Oryzias latipes: one gene and its partner. The protein of the gene in region 2 interacts with the protein of the main gene of each other region in a pairwise test. Links are inferred from orthologs where the notes say so. Each region holds a gene or a part of one and is shown on either strand. Other genes may lie near its edges.

Region 1 (4,253 bases), on a different chromosome or scaffold from region 2:
AGTGAATAGTTGGAATTCTTGATGCGGCTTGACTTTTTCCGGTCTCGCTGCAGAGGTTAGTTACCCTTTTGGCTCCAAGCAGATCCTGGTCAAATCCCATCTGAGGTTCTGTGCACGCTGTTCTCCCAGCGTGTTGCAAATGTTTTATCCGAGTGTTTTTTCGTTGCCCCAAACCATCTGGTGGATCTTTGATTCTTTTTCTATTCAGTCTGTGAATTTTTAATGCTGAGAAATGGCATGGGACCTGGCAACCTCCACGATCCAGGATGGAACATGTGAGTGAAAAATATGGTGAAACAACAAATACTGGTCTTGGAAATCAATGGCCAAATATTTAAACATCAAGTTTTACATGTTGCTTTGAAATTATACAGTCTAGAGGACAGTATGGTTTTCCTGAAGAAGGTCAGTGTTTGGGCTAACAAAGTTTTGGGATTCCTATAGAGATATACAAAGTTCCAACTTGAAGAAAAAATTGAAACAGTAAATATGAAATCTACAAAATTGGGTAATAAACAAAGCAAAAATACACTGTGCATCACTTGAGGCATAAATGTGTAAATAAATACTTTTCACCACCTATGGTTTCAGTCATGTGTATGCAAATGCAAATAATCTGATCCCAAACATAAAGACTTTAAGCATAGTCCATCATTTGTAAAATGTTTTGATACTTTAGAATATTTATTACAAAAAACAGCAGAAGTTTGATTTAACTTTTGGTGTGGTGGCTCCAATTTTCTTTTTCTTCTGGTTGCAGAACAAATGTCATCTTATGGAGAGCTTCTATGAGGTACATTTTTCTTTTTTAGCTTATTGAGCACAAGATAGGTAGCTAATTTATTTTTCAAACAGGGTAATTGAAATTGTTTTACATGAATTATTAAGATATAGATTTTAATTATTAATGTTACAAATAAAAAAAAGACATTGAAAGACAGTATCTAATCGAACAAGTTACAATAAAGCATTTTGAATCTATGAATGCATTTTTCTTCTTCTTCCCACTCTCCTTTCTAGATGCTGCTCATAAAAAATTAAAAGAAAAAATATGTGAATGTGTGATGCAATTTAAATACCTAGAAATATTAACGTCTGTATTGAAAATCACTTATTTGACCATCGGTATACTGGATGTATGTATGTATGTATGGATGGATGTATAGATTTGTATGGATATATCTATAGATGTGTTCATATATGTAAATACCTGGTCTGATTGCCCCCCCTCCCATTTTTTTAACCAGTTATATATATGAAATTTGTGATTTTGACACAAAGAATGTAAAGGTAACCAGTTTATTACTGCTCAAGCCTTTTATGGCAATTTTTTTCTTCCAAATATATTATACAGTTATATACGAGAGGAAATGTTTTAAGACTTCATAATTGTAAAGGAGTTAGAGCCTTTAAATCTGAACCAGGGGCTACCCAAATAGATTTGGGGGCGTGATCATGACGTCACATCCTCGCCATTTTCCTGCTGCTGTTGTTGTTAGCCTATTAGCTAAAATATCAGCATTTGCACAGAGAAAAGGCGGGTCTGCGATACATGTACCCCGCATAGCTCAGCTTCTGCAGTGAGTTCATCGTGACTGTCGTTCCTGCAGTCATGGACGAGGATTTCTACAGCGGCCCAGGCGACTGGGAGAGCTCAGACGTGAACGTGGTGAGGAACCGGGGCTTGTTGCTGTGTGCGCCCGCTCCTAGCGACAAGAAGACCGGAAGCTTTTAGCTAAATAACCGGGTTTGACACACCGAGAGAACGGCTCTTTCAGAGTGTGAACGCTGAGCACTTTTCGAAGTTTTAAGACCCTCCTTTTATTGTTAACTTCGTCTTTCGGCCAGTATAACAGAAGTGTTTCAAGTACCAAAACAGTTAGCTTTGTCACGGGCTAGCATCACTTCAAAATAAAAGTCATAACCAAAATAGCCTTTAAAACAAAAATTAAACCTCATGTGGTTTATTATTGGGTTTTTATACATTAAGGTGAAATGTAAAATAAACCAAAACAAGGATTTTTTTATAATCATGATTTTTTTCTTACCCAGTTTTCATTTTGTGCGGGGTCTTGTGTGTGGGCTGATGATTTATTTTGAATTTAAATTTGTATGTTTATTTAAATCTTTGTTTTTAACTGTAAAGCGCTTTAAGCAGTTTAAACGCATGACAAGTGCGTTTTTATTAATAAAGCTTGATTGAATTTGTTGTAGATGATCTCTTTCTTCATCATCATACTTTTAGCTCGTTTTTTTTTTGTCCTATAAATGGGCTGATACTATGATTCTTTTGCCCTGATTTTTTTCATTAAGGAATTTGTCTGGGTTTATGAATCCATTAATGCTTATTGACACGTTTATGTGTTAAATTGAATGTTGGAGCTTAAACGTTCCTGTTACAGGAGGACGGTCACATGGAAGGAGAGACCGATGGTGCAATCCAGGAGGCTTGTCTGCAGAAGTTTTCCAGCAGGGATTACATCATGGAGCCTGCTATCTTCAGCACCCTCAAAATGTAAGCTTCTGGGGTCCAAATCCAACAGTTTAGTTTGTGTCATTTCTTTTATGGCGTTCTATATTGGTGTGAAGATTTGCTTTTGTCATATTGTGGCTTCTGGGAGACTGACAGCCGTTTTTGGTGTTGCAGGTACTTTCAGGCCGGTGGCTCTCCAGAACATGTGATCCAGCTTCTGTCAGAAAACTACTCTGCTGTGGCTCAGACTGTGAATCTGCTCGCTGAGTGGTTAATCCAGATGGGTAACTGATTCAATTATTTCCTATTTCCTGTATTTGTTTTGGAGTATGCTCAATCCTCATTTTTCCTGGTTGCAGGTGTAGAACCCGCTCAGGTCCAAGAGCGTGTGGAAAATCACCTGAAGAGTCTCCTCATAAAGCATTTCGACCCCCAGAAAGCAGATTCTATTTTTACTGTTGAGGGAGAGGTGAGCTCTATTTATCCTATATTTTTTAATGGATCCTCCAATTAAAATTGAACCAACATGAAGCTCCCATGATGCTTTGCTCCGTGTTTAGACTCCAGCTTGGCTCGAACAGATGATCGCACACACAACCTGGAGGGATCTTTTCTATAAACTAGCTGAGGCTCATCCTGACTGTTTGATGCTCAACTTCACAGTAAAGGTATCACAGTGGTGTTGTTAGGGCTGAATTAAAATGTACTTTTTTACTGCCCTGAAATGATTAATTAGGACTTTTTATTTAATTGTTAGATAAACTAAAGCAATCTTCTCTTCTGAGTTTTCTTCTTTACCATAATCTCAGAGTTTTTTAACATTACCCCTTTGGAGCATTTTGGCACCTTGAAAATAAATTGAATCTTTATTATCTTTCGGTATTTCTGCATGACACAACCACGCAAAGTTTTACCTCCAGTTTTCTGTTTTTCCTCTCAAACGTGTAGCTTATTTCTGATGCTGGTTACCAAGGAGAGATCACCAGTGTGTCCACAGCCTGCCAGCAGCTGGAGGTTTTCTCACGGGTGCTGAGGACATCTTTGGCCACTCTGCTCGATGGAGGAGAGGAAAACCTGGAGAAGACCCTGCCAGAATTTGCTGTGAGGCTTTTGTGTTACCAATTAAAGCACCGTTTCTTTTTTTGTTGTAGTTGTAGGAGATTTAACACTTTCTCAGATTGTTCTGTCCTTTGTGTGCATTCTTACTTGCTGTTAAAGTTTCCACGTTTTCTCCACCATGTTGCTCTACAAACTCTGCATTTGACGCTTTTCCTCTGGCGTGTGGTAAAGCAGCTCAGCCTTTAGGGCCAACCTGATCTGCCTTTCTTGTCTTTGTTGGTTCCACTTTCTGTCACAATAGGAAATTTGGAGCAATCCTTTTTTTTTTTATCATGGGTGCAAAATCAGTTTTTATTTAGAGTAAATCTGGAATTAGATGTGTTTTTCATAACTAAATTTCATTTGATCACTTACTAGGACTTACTCCTACTCCGATCCTCTTTAGGTTAGAAAAACGTTCCCAAATGTTTTTTTTTAAATTATGATTATGCCATTTTTAGCCAAAATTAAAAAAATCCTGTCATTTTCTAGGATAGTTTCTGCAAAGCGGCAGTAATTCATTAGAAATTTGCCTTTTGAGTTGTGGGTGGGACTTTTGGCTCAGAGTAAGTGTGTCCCCACTTCCTGTCACCCATCTGTTTACCCTCTCTCCTGCTAGCTTTCAGCACCTTAAACCCTCAACCTGAGCAACATTGGAGCTATCCAGATGTACAGTTTAGAG
Region 2 (3,500 bases):
ACACAATCTGCACAACAATAAATATGTCAACAGGTCAGTGAGTTCTTGCACAAAATTGATCAAAAAACAAAGCAAAATGTTGCAAAATAAATGGTGCTATATTCTAATATTTAAAATAAACTGGTTCTTGAAGACTTTCCGTTTCTGAGCAGAAAACATCAGCATTTGGATGAAACATGAAGATTGTGATGCCAAACCTCAAATTTGGATTTTATTTGGGTTCATTCGCCTTTTTCTTTATCGTTTTATTTTGACATGTTGTGGATGTTTCCTTGTCGGTGTTGGTCTGCTGCATCTGCTGCTCTCGTTGCTTCATGTGATCAAGAAGAAGAAGGGAAGTCCGACTCACCGCTTGCTCACCGTGTCCATGTCCAGACACACGGTGGGGACCTTGCTGCTGCAGTGCTGGTGAAACTTGTAGCCACATGTCTGACATCTGAAGCCATTAAAAAGAAACTTGTGGCAGAAATCACAGTAGGCCAGCTTGAAAAACGTTTTCCGTACCTAAGAAGACAAAAAGCCATCAAGACATTAATTACGTCCCCTAGGAAGACTGAGACAAAAATGCATAGAAAACCTCAGTCAGTTCAAAGATTTTTATGGGATGCTGTGCGCTTCCAGACACTCACAAAGTTGTGCATGGTGAGAGGAATGTCGTCCAGAACCTCCACTAGCAGCTCCTCTCCAACCAAAGGAGTGATGTCTGTGTTCCAGTCAGTCAGTCTCTTACGACTGGAGCAACGAGGAAGAGGAGGAAAAGAGAAACATGAAGACGTGGAGATGTAAAGAGTTTTTGCACAGCTGGACGGAGGCTCAGATGGATTTAACTAAGATTGTCGAGTGCAAACTAGCAGCAGAAAGCAATCGTCAGTGAAGCTTAGACTCCAGGACACTTTGTGGAGCACTGGATGTTTCTGCACAGGTGAAACTGTAAAAATTAAACTTTAAGTGCACTTATTATCAGAGGACGTGACTTCCATTAGCAAATATTACAAAGTATTACTTATTTTAGTTTGTCATCGCTGCAACATGAGGTTTTGGTTGATGATTATGGTTTAGATCCATCAAGATTAAATTAATAAACGGCTACCGTATAATACTATTTTGTACAGGCCTTAAGAATTAAAAACAGAGCATACCTGTAAGATAAAGCTTGTGACTTGCTAAATTTGAAACGTGGATGAGACTCGAGAGCATAACCTGTGCAGATGCTGCATGACATGCAACACTACCGTGAAAACGATGCAACTGCTGCATAAACTGCACAGCTGCTGTGAAACAGGGGCAGCTGATGCATGACATGTGCTAACCGCCAACTGACAAAAATCAAATCAGTATACATCTTTTTTGTTTCTGATCATCTTCCCCTTTGAGACGCCCTCCACCTTCTATCTCCACTCATCTCCTCTTTCTCATGAATATGGCTCTTCATGAATAAATTAGCTTGGATGATGGAAAAACACATTCGTTTACCCACAGATGGATGTTTATAAAGAGAGGTCTGCACTAAAGTCTGTACCACACAGTTTTAGAAACCTGCATGTTTGAATGGATTCCACCATCTGGGTGTCTAAATCAGAACTTTGGTTTAAATAAAGAACTTTTGGTGAAAAAAGTTTTGTGCACGAGCTTTCAAACAATAATTATAACGATGAAACTGAAGTGAGCTGGAGGTTTTTAAAGCAGACAAAACTAAATATAGTGGTTAAAAACAAAACAGATCCAGTTGAGTCCATTTCATAAAAATGTTTTACTCGTTTCAGTTCCAAATCACCTTGATGAGTTTATGTTAACCTAAACTAGTCTTGCTGTGTGTGCTGTGGTTTTCAATCAGGATGTGAGGGGGGCATACAGCAGATAGGGGGGCTTACCCTTCCAGGAGGCGGAACACGGCGCAGCAGTCTTGGCTGAGGCCTCGCACTTTGAGAGCTTTATCCAGACTCTCGTACACAGTCTGACCTTGGCGGACGTTGACCTGCAGACACACACCGCGGTGAAAAGTTCAAGTTTCCCTTTGATCATCTTTTGATCTACTGTAAAAGCCTTCCCACTGGCCTTTTGATAGTAATTATGTCGTTTCCAGCCTAAATTTTAAAAAAAAAACTGTCATTTTCTAAAGAGTTCATTAAACGATTCCCATCTGCATTGAGCGACTGTTGGTGCAGTACAAGCCTGCCCCTACTTCCCGTCATCCATTTGTTTATAGCTATCCAGTCGTACAGTTTAGAGCCAGATTCCAGCTCTGGCGAGGAAAACAAAGACGTTCATGGATCCATTTGTCTGTCAATAAATTACTGCTACAATCTTTTTCCAAAGGCATTATTCATCTGCTCCTGATTCATAATGATTGGAATAAAGAAATTCTCAGAAATCCAAAATTAAGGCTAATTTTTGTAACCCTTGTGCTATCTTAGGCACTTGGGATTTGGGTCATCTAGACCCACTAGACAGTGCGCTGAACCTTTTTTCTTCAATGATTTGTGATCTTCACTGGTGATTAAAGGTTAACCCTTGTGCTATCTTAGATGTCTTATATTATATTATTATATATATAGATCTTATATTGCGTCCGTCGTCAGAAAAATGCCACAAGAACATTTTAAAAACATAAAAAAGACCATTTTCATTGGAGTGGGCATTTAAAGACACCTGATGGTCAAAACAAGCAGATGGGGCAGATTCCCACAACGGCTCAAACAGACCAGGACTTCAGCTGTCACAATCGTTGAACTTTGCCTCCCTGCCAGGTGTGTATGTAGCCTTATATGCCCCTGTGTTCTGACGCACTCCTAAACCAGAGTCAAAGTGGTTCAGCACCAGCCTCCATCCACAGAGGCTACTGACCAGAGTCAAAGATGGGACTATAAGCCATGTTCCTGAAGATCTCAATGTCATCATCTTTGACTACTCTGCTCTTCAGACCAGTTCTCAAGGCCAGGTACCTGCAATCCTCCTCACATTCAGATGCTGCAGCTAGACAGTCATTCTGAAGGTATCCACAGAAAATAACCTTCTGATGGAGGTAGCTGTGAGGGGGCGGGGCTCTGGCAGCTCCTTCATTAGAGAGCGCCCTCTTTCTTAGGGATTACTTTATGATAATCTCTGCAAACCTGCTGTCAAATGTTTTCAGTGGCTTTTCCTCTCAACAGCTACAGATAGCTAAACCCCGCACTTGGGAAAAAAAGAGGTAAAAGGTGAAAATCATCGGAATTCCAAAGACGCTTTAAGCTGCAGATATCAAACTGAACTTTGTGACGCTTTCATGTCAGAGGGAGAGGAAAAAACCCCCTTTGCATGCTGGGAATTTTTGTTTGGAAAGGTTAGGTTTTTCAGCAGCAGAAGGGAACAGGAAGAACCTGATGGCACAAACATGTGTGTTTGCTGTTGTGATGTGACACAAACACTGATATGACAACACAGCGGAACATGAGATGGATCTTTGGCGTGTGGAGCATGAAGGATGGTGGCGGCGGGATCGTCTGAGACACCTGATGCCCGCT

What was found. The genes of interacting proteins can lie anywhere in the genome.
Region 1: the proteins of araf (region 2) and nelfcd interact in binary tests that used the Homo sapiens proteins (3 or more experiments, as listed by UniProt). The link is inferred for Oryzias latipes from reciprocal best matches to the Homo sapiens genes ARAF and NELFCD.

What each region holds. Positions count from the first base shown.
Region 1 is NC_019863.2:26,966,359-26,970,611, reverse strand, and holds the start of nelfcd (negative elongation factor C/D), read left to right. Parts: upstream 1-1,453; 5' UTR 1,454-1,612; coding exon 1,613-1,669; intron 1,670-2,402; coding exon 2,403-2,515; intron 2,516-2,647; coding exon 2,648-2,757; intron 2,758-2,832; coding exon 2,833-2,942; intron 2,943-3,033; coding exon 3,034-3,141; intron 3,142-3,421; coding exon 3,422-3,574; intron 3,575-4,253. UniProt on the Homo sapiens protein: Essential component of the NELF complex, a complex that negatively regulates the elongation of transcription by RNA polymerase II.
Region 2 is NC_019867.2:28,410,335-28,413,834, reverse strand, and holds part of araf (serine/threonine-protein kinase A-Raf), read right to left. Parts: intron 1,976-3,500; coding exon 1,872-1,975; intron 733-1,871; coding exon 630-732; intron 505-629; coding exon 350-504; intron 1-349. UniProt on the Homo sapiens protein: Involved in the transduction of mitogenic signals from the cell membrane to the nucleus. May also regulate the TOR signaling cascade. Phosphorylates PFKFB2.